Arabidopsis thaliana: one gene and its partner. The protein of the gene in region 2 interacts with the protein of the main gene of each other region in a pairwise test. Each region holds a gene or a part of one and is shown on either strand. Other genes may lie near its edges.

What was found.
Region 1: the proteins of NAP1;2 (region 2) and HON4 interact in a two-hybrid assay, tested with the Arabidopsis thaliana proteins (one study listed by BioGRID).

Annotation. Positions count from the first base shown.
Region 1 is NC_003074.8:6,168,106-6,173,578, forward strand, and holds HON4 (winged-helix DNA-binding transcription factor family protein), read right to left. Parts: upstream 3,901-5,473; 5' UTR 3,454-3,900; coding exon 3,244-3,453; intron 3,158-3,243; coding exon 2,276-3,157; coding exon of another isoform or gene 2,204-2,275; exon of another isoform or gene 1,821-2,203; intron 1,733-1,820; coding exon 1,667-1,732; intron 1,564-1,666; coding exon 1,279-1,563; 3' UTR 858-1,278; downstream 1-857. Other genes in the region: HAL3A (HAL3-like protein A), read right to left, coding at 1-71, 189-524.
Region 2 is NC_003071.7:8,436,417-8,442,289, reverse strand, and holds NAP1;2 (nucleosome assembly protein 1;2), read right to left. Parts: upstream 3,835-5,873; 5' UTR 3,690-3,834; coding exon 3,644-3,689; intron 3,540-3,643; coding exon 3,496-3,539; intron 3,268-3,495; coding exon 3,172-3,267; intron 3,043-3,171; coding exon 2,950-3,042; intron 2,728-2,949; coding exon 2,640-2,727; intron 2,536-2,639; coding exon 2,474-2,535; intron 2,392-2,473; coding exon 2,207-2,391; intron 2,124-2,206; coding exon 1,946-2,123; intron 1,859-1,945; coding exon 1,815-1,858; intron 1,732-1,814; coding exon 1,515-1,731; intron 1,419-1,514; coding exon 1,401-1,418; intron 1,319-1,400; coding exon 1,250-1,318; 3' UTR 789-1,249; downstream 1-788. Other genes in the region: RECA2 (recA DNA recombination family protein), read right to left, coding at 1-70, 261-318, 502-558. UniProt on the Arabidopsis thaliana protein: May modulate chromatin structure by regulation of nucleosome assembly/disassembly. May function in nucleotide excision repair (NER). Involved in somatic homologous recombination.

The sequences.
Region 1 (5,473 bases), on a different chromosome or scaffold from region 2:
AACAGTGGTTTGGTATAGTCCCAAGCTCGTATAATGCAAGTCAGAAGATTATCACAAAGCCCACCAGCAATCTACAAAGGTACAACAAAAATATATTGTATGAATTGAATCCTCCATGAATGTTTTCACAAGTCACACAATTGAATCTAAGTAGTTGGTTTAGGGTTTTCGTCGATTTGTTAAATTACCTTGCCTAAGGTGTTAGCAGACAAAGGAGCAATGACTAAAACATCAGCCCAACGTCTAAGCTCGATGTGAAGGACAGGATCACCGATCTTGTTCCAGCTAGACCATTCATCTTCATCAGTATACAGAGTCACTTCTTGTGGGAGAGAGAGTTTATCGAGGAAATGTAGAGATGATTTCGTAACGACGGCTCTGACTTCTGCCCATTCGGTGAAGCAATGGCAGAGATTGCCGAATTTGATAGCAGCGACGCTTCCACTTGCAGCGAGTAGTACACGAGGCTTCCTCGGTGTGGTATTCACTTCCATGTCTTGTCTGTCTCTTTTCCCATTCTCCATAGCTCTTTTACACCTTCAGAGATCTAGCAAAGTAGCCAATGGTTCGGCGAAGAACCCTAACCGAAAAATTGATCTGGTCGAAGAGAATATCAAAATGTTTTAGAGGGAAGAGAAAGAGAGAGGCCCGAGAGGACAATCATTTTAGTTGCTGGTCAAATGGGCCATTGACTCACTCTTTTTTAGGCCTCGGTCGTATGGGCTGTGAATATCGATATATTTCATTTTATATTTACTTCGTTTGGACTGCAATTTCGATTCTGAGTTCGACTGTTGTGTTAACTCTAACATGTTTTCGAGTCAAAGTTATATAGCTTTTTGAGCCAACGTGAGATGGAAATGAAGATATTATTAGTAAGAAATTAAGTAAGAGTCGACCTGCTAAAACCGTTGGGTGGAAAATAGACACGAAAACATCTCCACAATGTGCAAAGCGGAAGCAGAGAGCAGAAGACAGATTGAAAAAAACAAAGGCACAGACGCAATAAGAGATTATTAAAGATGGAAGACTAGAAACATCGCTAATTTACAGCCACGTCTTATGGTTTGGTTAAAGACACACCGACAACAACACCATTAACGAGTCTACTATTTCTTCTTCTGCAGACAACAAAACCTAGAAAAATTAAAATTCCTTATAGATTTTTATATAATTTAAGATGCGATTCCAACACCTAAAACAACTAAAAAAAAACACTCCTAACGCCAAACACCAAGGCTATTATGTCTAGGTTGTTTTCTAGATCATTATTATTCTTCAGAACAGAGCTTCTTGCATTGCCTCTGCTTCTGTCTGGGTCTGTGTTTCTCCTTCTCTTTCTTGTCCTTCTTCTTGTCCTCCTTGTGTCTCAGCAGCTTCAGTTTGTTGAGCTTCAGTCTGTGGTGCTGCAGTCTCCTCTGGCTGCACTTCTTCCATAACTTGTGGCTCAACGGTCTCCGTCACTGTTAGTGCTTCCAGATCTTTTATGGCTTGCACCACTGCTTGATTCTCACTTGTAACTCCATCCTTCAACACCTTCACAATTTCTTTCACTTTCTCTTGCTGAAATCATTTACATACAAAAACCAAACATAAGCAAGTAGAATCGAATACTTTAATCAAATAAAGGACAGCCAAACTGTTTATTGTCAACAAGTAGACTTACAAAAATATCAAACTTCTTCTTGAGTTCTCCAGAATCTTGTGTCCCAGTCGTGACTGATGTTCCAATCTAGGTTCATGAACCAAAAAATAAAATTGTTGGATAAAAGTATAACATATTCAAGAAAGACATTAATGGTTAAATTAAGAAGTCTTACTTTAGATCCAATTGAACACGTTACTAGTAAAATAGAAGATACAGAGAAGAAGACACTATGTGATGACTTAGAAACCATTAAGCCGGATTAACACACTAATTGATGATAAAATTATTCCTAGCTATAGCGATACATTACCGACTATTTTGGTCTTAATTATCCAAACGAAAATTAAAATAAAACAGAGAAACCAGATAAGGATAAGCCAAAAGTAAGGGACACGAAAATATAATAAAAACACTAGATACTAGTCAGATTTTGGATACGCGAAAACAGACAACAATGCTCAAAAGCGGAAAGTGACATTGAGTTTGAATTCCACAATGATTGCAACACAAGTATCAAACTTTATCAATCTAAATTGACGGCGGAGCAGTGAACAATCATGCACAGTAAACGTCAGATATTGCAAAATCGAGATCACGAATACAGAATTGGGGGATGTGAAAATTTACCTTTCTGGGTCTACCTACAGGACGTCCTCGTCCTCTCTTAGGCTTCATAATAAGCCTACTGATAACACCACCAATCTTAGGTGGTCGTCCACGTCCACGCTTCATCCCTGGCGCAACCGCTGCCACATTTTCACCACCTACTGGAGCAACACTAACAATACTGCTAGGGTCAACAACTCTCCTAGGCCTTCCTCTGCGTCTAGCACCATTAGCAACATAAGGATACACAGAGGCAGTAGAAGAAACGGATTTGGGCTTCCTCTGTCTCCCAGCAGCTCGACGACCCGGTGGTCTACCTCTACGTTTCATAATTCCAGCCATAACCGAAGCTTGAACGATTGGTGCAGTAGCAGGAGCAGCAGAACCGTTCTTCCTTGGACGACCAGGTCCTCTCTTCGCCGACTCTGTAACCGGAGTCGGAACCGGAACAGGTGATTGAACTTGCTGCTGTTCCCAGATTGGCTGTCCGTTAGCCTGGACTTGATTGGTCGGTGGAAGTTGCTGTAGTGGTTGTGGTTGAGATTCAGGTTTAGGCTTAGGAGGACGACCACGACCTCGTTTCAGAGGCTGAGAAGCAGAGCCAGAAGCCATGGGATCGTTGTTACTTGAATGGAGAATCTCAGATCTGGGAACATCGAGACCTTGAGCGGCGGCAGCAGCAGCAACAGCTACACTAGCAGGAGGAGTAGAAGAACCAGCAATTTTGTAAGATTTCTTAACCATAGAAAGAACACCACTGGTCTTCAAAGTCTTGAGATGGTGAGTCAACAAAGCAGCATGAGCAGAAGTTAAACCGGTGTAACATCTCTCGATGTATCTCGAAATTGCCATCTTGCTCGAACCATCCGGTTCGTTTAACGCCGCAATCGCAGCGCAAATCATCTACACACAGAAAAAAAAAATTAGTAACAAAAAAAAAAGTAACTGAATTTAGTTATAAAGGAAGAGGCTTTTAAGATTGAACTTACTTCGGAGTAAGGAGGGTGGGGCATTGAAACATGTGGAGATAACTGAAACATCTGCGGTTGCGGGATTTGCGTTTGCGTTTGCGGCTGCGGTTGGAAGACGACATGGTTATTGTACGGATTTGGTCCTAAAGGATGATGATTGGAGGTGGGAAAATGAGGAAAAGGGGTGAACTGAGGAGGATGATGAGGATCACCAAGAGATGGATCCATGGATGTGAGATTTTTGCAGAGCAAAGAGAAGAGAAGATACAGTAAAAAAAAAAAAAAGAACAAAAAAAAAAAAGACAGAGGTGGAAGGTGAGATTTAGATTTAGGGTTTTTTTTTCTTTTTTTTTGTTTTTTGCTCTGAGAGCTCTTTTGATTTTTTTGTTTTTGTGAAAATAAAATTTTTGTGAGAGAAATAAATAAAGTTAGGTTGGGGAGAGAGAGGCGGAGGAGTAGAGACGAAAGGATGAGAAGAAAGATTACTATTAAATCTAACCGTTGATTTGTTTTCTATCGACGGTTTTGACGAGGATCGATGACGTGTCATATCATTTTGTCTTTTATTTTAAGGATTTTGTGTTTCTTTACTTTGATTTTTTTCATTTTTGCCTCTTAGAATTTTGCTACATTTTCGCTCCAATGTAATAAAAAATCACCAAAATTTTAAAAATGGACCGCCAAAATTTTAAATTATTTTTCTGAAAAGAACTCCTCGCTTTCAGTGTAAAACAATTTTGTTGATTTTAGAATAACATCGAATGAAGTATATAGCAAACACTGTTACATTAAGTAACCCATGTAACAAACTCCATTAAAGAGTGTATGATAAGTAAGAGATGTATTGAGATGAGTATGGCAAAACAAATGCAATTACTAACTTCTATGTCCTCTGTTTAGGATTTGAAATCGATACATTTACATAAAATTTAGTTTCAAATTTATATTTTCTGTGAATTTTGTTAGAGTATATATCTATTTGCGACCCTTTAACTTAATCACAAAATGATACATCAAATATGTTTTTCATTAAGGAAAAATTACAAGACATTAAAATATTTTTAAACAGTAATGTATGATATTTACATTTGAATTAAATTTTAACTTTAGTTGCATTTTAACAAAATATTTGATATATATATATATATATATCTATATATATATATATAAATGTACGACGTAAAACAAAAATAACAAATAAATGTAAACCTCTTATTATAGATGATGAAAGATAACTTTATGAAAAAAATAAAATATGGAAAAATATATTTACCAAGTGCTAAATACATTTTTCTTTTGTCTTGTATCACAAATAAGCGTGATATATTTAAAAGAATAATTGAAATATTAAATGATGAAAGATAAGTTTTAAAATTTTCAAAATATGGAAAAACATGCAATTAGTAAGTATTGATTGCAAATTTTAATTTGTTTTGTACAAAGAAGCGTTATTTATTTAAACATTATAATAAAAATGATAAATAGTGAACGATGAATTTAAGAAAATTTAAAATATGAAAAACTAGAATTTATAATTGTTTAATGCAAAATTTATAACAAACAAGCATTTTTAACGGGTAATGTAAAGGATACAAAGTGAGCGATAATTTTAAAGATATTTAGTGGTTTTACATATAGTTAATGTTTTTTTTTTTTTTTTAGAAGAACTTTTTTTTTCATTTGACATTTTAATATTGTTTAATGAACTTTTGTGTATTATATGTGTGGATTCAAAAGGGTAGTTGGATAGATTTCACCATTTGAATTTTGAAGTAGCAAATCTCAAATAAAATCAATGGGACTAAGAACAATTGATAAATCTATGGGGGAACAAGTGTCACACCTATCTCCTTGGTAAAGCCAGCCCATACATCACGGTACCCAAAAAGAATCATCCAACAAGAGAATTGTTGGTACATATTACTGACATTACAATACGATATTATAAAGAGTACAGTACGTTTATGCTTATGCATTAAGCGCAAGTAAAACCCGATATATGCTCATCATTCAAACTCCAAGTATCACCTGAGTCGTGTCGTTTTCATACAACAATTTATGTATGCTCATTCTTTTAATACTAATATATCTGTGTTGTGATGTGTGCATGCGTGTGCTCGAATACTTTCAAGCAAGGGTCAAACAAAGTGCGGCTGGTAATAGACGATCAGAAGACACAATCACCAGACACCAAGTAAGCAGATGACAAAAGACGATCACCACACCAGAATTCCAACAAAACAAAAGA
Region 2 (5,873 bases):
AGAGCAATCTCCTTTTTCGACATACCTTCTTCAGATGATCCATTTCCATCTGACTTGGATTTCTTTTTAGCTTCAAAACAAAAACAATTGCAGAGTTAATGGCAAAAACCTCAACTTTAACAACCACAGTGAGCTAAGCAATCAGAAACGCAAACGGATTTAGCTCTAGTAATCTGTGGAAATACATATATTCATCAAAATCAAAAACCAATTTGAGTAAAATCGATTCATAGAAACAAAAGGTAAAAGCTTAAGACAACCTTTGGCAGCAAAGCCTCGGAGCTGAAACGATGTTCCAACCACACTTCTTCTAAGTAACTGCAAAACCCCATGAAACCCTTGTCAATAAACATTACCCAGAAAAAAAGAATGAATTCAAATTAAGAGACAACATTTCGGATTCTTTCTCATGAATGAATACCCAAATAAGCAATGAAAACGACAGTAACAGAGTTTTTTTAATTTCTCGTAATACCCAAATGAGAAACACGATAAACATACCTCTGACGAAAACAGAGAGCTTCTCAGTGAATAAACGTTTCGGAGAATCCTCGCCATAGAAAAGCACTAAAAAGCTTCTTCTCCACTTTTTTAAACCACAGATACAGAAACAAACCAAAAACTGGAAAATTCCAACTACCCAGAAGTCAGACTTGTATGAAAACGGAGAAGAAGAGAAATTTCACTGGAAAAAAAAAAGGAAGAGTTTTTTAGGGTTTTAGGTTTTCGTTTCCCTCCGTTTCAACTATTTTTTTTGGGTTTCTGTTGATCGGTCTTTTACAAGTCGGCAGAGATGTTTTTGACTTTTGTCTTTCCCAGAGAAACTCAAACCGATGTCTAAACCGGCTCATTGATGGGTTATGCAAACCGATAAATAAGATTGATTGGTTTTAATTATTTGACGGTTTGGTAATGTTGGTTTATAAAATTCGATCAATCTTAAGTAAACTAGATTGTCTCACAAATTCTCTCATTAACGAGGGAGGATAAATAGAATTGAATTCGAAATCTGACCAGAGAACGACATTAACTCGAAACAAATTCATAAGATCATTACAAAAGGAAAAATCAAGAGACACAAACCAAACCAAAGAACCCATTTTTTTTTTTTAAATAGCAAACCAATCACCCAAAACTGATATATAATAAACCGGACCATGACTCTGCAAATTAAAGAAACACAACCTCGGCTCAAAGACACTCTTCACTCTTCTTCTTCATCATAACTAAGCCAAGATTCTTCACTTCTTCACTGCTGCTTACATTCCGGTGGCCTCTCACCTGCTTGACCTTCCGCAAGTTGACTTCTTCCAGCCTTCTGTTCATTAAAAAAGGATACCTCAGGTTAGCCATTGCATTATCAACAAAAAAAAAAGATCGAGATTGATTGATTGTTAAACCTTGTGCCCAGCTGATGACTGCAACAAAACAAAAGATAAACCACCAAATCAGTTTCAGAGGTTTTAGTTTCCTATGTAGGAAGGTTTTAAGTAGAACAAAACCACATAATTTACCTTCTTTTTGCTCTTCTTTCCTTGATCTGCTTCTTCCTCCTCGTCATCATCCTCATCATCCTCCTCCTCGTCATCCTCATCATCTTCCTCGTCCTCTTCATCATCATCTTCATCAATCTCATCATCGTCGTCCTCAATATCAAGGTCATCTGCCTCAACAGCTTCACCAGTGAACCATGACACAGCATGCGAGATGATTTTCTCTTTGATTGTTGAACTACAGGATAAACAGTGGACAGACTCAGATCCTAGAACTGAACTAAGTGAAGAGAACTGAATATGAAATAGAAAGGTACACACCCGATATCATAATCATGCTCCATTTGTCCTTGGAGTTCATCAGCCTGTGAATATTAGATGATCAGATTAAAATCCAACACAATCTTAATTACTGACTCTAAAAACTAAACTGCTTATGGAGATGGAAATACCATGTCATCATCAAGATCCTCATCATCGTCAGGAACTTGAGGTGGACTGAAAAAGTTGAAGAAACTCTCACAGTCCTCAGTCTTAGTGATCGGCTTTGTGTTTTTGGATCCTTTCTTTGGCTTCTTTTTTAGAATCTTCTGTGTCAAACACTTTCCAGGATACCACTCAATCTCCGTCCTGAACAGCAGTAAACGACAGTCAATAAAGACTTATTGTCTTCAGAACATAAACAGTAAATACTTGATAGAGCAAAACATTACCCGAGGGCCTTCTCAAGGATAGGCTCATCTTCATCAATCATGTGATATGTCTTGGTCAAGACAGTGTTCTTGAAGTAAGGATTCTGATCAAAGAAAAACTCAAGCTTGAACCCTTTTGGTTCTTCAACCCTACTCCACTTGATATCTTTGAGATACTTGAGAGCCCCTTCATCTCGCTCAGTTATCTAAAACCGTGGAAAAAACCACATAATGATAAAGAGAATCGCCATTTTATAAACCAAAAAGAAGAATATTCTAATAACGAACCTCTTCCGCAGTAATTTCATTGTTCTTCAATGCAATAAGCCAGAAATCTGGTACTCCTTTCTCTGCAGAAAGACAGTTTCATATCATATAAAAATCATGAGTTCACCATCATCATCATAAGATACTAAAAATAAACATGTTTCAGTAAAAGAATCGATAAACACACCTTCAGCTGATTTATCTTCTCCTTGTTCGGATTTTACTTCTTCAGCTGCACCTTCAACTTCGACCACACCATTCACAATCTCATATCGCTGTGATGCAGAAGGCAGAAGACCATCAATATCAGTTACAATCACGAATGATGCAGAAAGAAGTGAAAACCATGAAGCACTAATCATTCACGTAAGTAGCAACAGAGAGAAGTCTTATTAAACCTTTATCAATTGAGGTGTCATCATGTGTTTCAAAGATATTCTAATAATAGGAAACTAAAGACCATAAGAATCTCGCAGAATCAAAGACCGTATTCAAACCTTGGTATATAAAGGCTGATATAACTTTTGATACTTAGCTTCAAGAGCTGCTCTCTCCTCAAAGAATTTTGCTTCCATCTCATCATATTGGTTCTGCAAAGGTTAAAATACAAAAGGAATCAGATAAATTTGCTCCACCAAAAACTCATTAGACCTGAACAGCCAGCTAATTCAAAACCAATACAAAATCCAAGATCATCTAAAAGCTGAAAATTTACTCACCTGAATCTCTCTTAGAAACTCGACACGCTTCCTGACTGGTGGAGTCAAGTTTTCAAGGACATCAGAGTGTTGTCCAGCCAAATTCTGCAACTTGTTCTGCAGCAAACACGTAAATCAAATCAGGAAAAGTCACAAACTTTCAAACAACCAAATTAAGATGCATAGACAATCCTCAAAACCAAAGTCAAATTCTCTAAGCCATAAGAATCAAATCAATTTCTCAAAACTAGTCAGGAAGAGAAAACAATCCCTAAAAGTTACAAAGATGAATAGCCCAATCTCCAGATAGTCATACGCAAATCATATCGTGAAGAAAAAACTCACCTTAAGAGCATTAACAAGCCCGGCACGATCCTCCTCGTTAAGAGCTATAAGCAAAACACAAAACAAGAGAAGCTTTTTTCAATAAATCAAGAGAACAAAAGAGAATCCAGGCCTCATTCTATAGGACAATAAGATTATAATATCTTACCGGTGGAGAGATCGGACATGTTCATGCTGTCCTTGTCGTTGCTCATCTTCGCAAGAAAAGAATCTGGCGGAGGAAGAGGAAGGATAAGAAACCTTAAAACCCTAGATTTTTGGGGACAAATACGAGACAGAGAATATATATATAAATAACTAAAAGGGCTTTGAGAAAATGACCAGACCGAAATAAGACACAACTAAAGCGAAAATAACAAATTTTTACATCAAAATTTGGCATGAATATTTGTTTTTAACATTTAAGAGCATTTCTGTTGATTTTTTTTAAAAAAAGGCTTTTAAGAGCATTTCTATTGGTTAGAAGAAATCTAGGTTGCATGGAAACTCGCCCCGAGGTCTATTTCCCATTTCCGAAACGTTACGAAAACAGAAACTCTCCGGAAACATGAAAAACGTAACGGAAACGCGTTTTTTAAAAATTTATGTTTGGAAACACGATGGAAACTTACGTTTTAAAGATAGAAACTCATGTTTCCCAAATAGACATACGACAAATTTTTTTCAACTTTGAAAATTTAATAACTAAAATTAAAATTATTAAAATTATTAATACATATAACTAATTTTGGAAGACTTTGAGTTTTAAGATATTTCTTTTGATAAACCAGATTTGAAAAGAGCTTTATATTATCTTTGATGAAACTAATGAAAATGAAAATGTTGGTCTAAATTAACTATTTGAACTTGAACCTTTTAATTTTTATCTTTTAGAATTTTAGTTTATTTATTTAATATTGATGTTTTGGACTTGTATTGTTTAAACCATTTTTTCTTTAATATAGTTTTATGTTAATGTTATATATATATATATATATATATGTATGTATGTGTATACGTTTCCAATCCCTAATTTTAAGAAAAAATCGTTTCCAATCCCTAATTTTAAGAAAAAATCGTTTCTCGTTTCCGAAACGTTTCGTATTCGCGTTTTCGTTTCCATTTCATTGCAACATAGGAAGAAACTCACGAGTCTTTTGATGATAGAAGTTTATTTATTTAACTAAAAATTTATTTATTACAAAAGTTTAACCTAATCATCAAAAAACAAATGTATATAAAAAAAAAGTATGTCATGAGTTTCTCAAGTGAAAAAAGAGTCTACTTTCTTTTAGCTCGAAGACAATTCTCATATTCTCATGAATGCTAGCTGATCACATGTTAATGCTTAATCTGGATTGATGCATTGTCATGAGTCACTCAAATTTCATATTAGCACACTATAGTAAGCAAATCTGATTGGAAAACATCTAGTGAGATGCTGCTTTGTTAGTTTAGGGAAAAATGCTTATTTGGTCCTAAAGATTTCGACTTAAGAATAGAGAAATGGTAAAAAAATGTAGAACATCATGCCAATCAAATGATACAAAAGTAACATAACCACCAAACGCATTTGCATGATCTATCTAATATTATATGTACCTATTTTGGTTTAAGGTCATTAATAAACTTGTTGATTAGTTTTTAATAATTTTGTAAAGTTTCTCAAACAATTTCTTTATTTTTATGATATTTTTCACAACTTTATTTTGTAAAAAAAAAGGGTATGATATTTTTCACAACTTTATTTTATAAAAAAAAGGGTAGAAAGTCATAAACCAATAACACAATAATTTAATTCATTATAATAATCATAGATTCTTTGTTTTAAATGAATTACACAAAAAATTTAATAACTTTATAAAAATATGAATCCAATAACTCTACATTTATGAAGATTTTATATTACTTTTTACAAATCTTAAACTAATAACACCAAACTTTAACAAAAAATTGAAAAATCTTTATTGAATAACAACAAATTCTTCATAACATTTTAAGTCACTGAAACTTCGAATACATCACAAACCAATAACACTCCCTAAATAAATTTATATATATTACTAGAAGTCTGGTTATTTGTTTAAATGTTAAAAGATATATGAATTTGTAAACTTAAGAGATTTATGGAATTTAGGAAAATATAAAAACAAAATCCTTATTCTTATTATAAAGTTTCTAAGAAATATACTGTATATTTTTTTCACCGAATAAAGATATTTAATAAATTGAGAAAAGGAATAGAAAAGACCAAAAGCAACAGGCTAAGCGAGACACACACACACGCGCAGTCTTCTTCATCTTGCTTGCTTCTGGTTGCTTAACCAAAACACCATGGAATCTCCCTAAATTTCCTCACCTACTCACTTCCAATTTCAACCTGCTCGATTCTTCCCCTC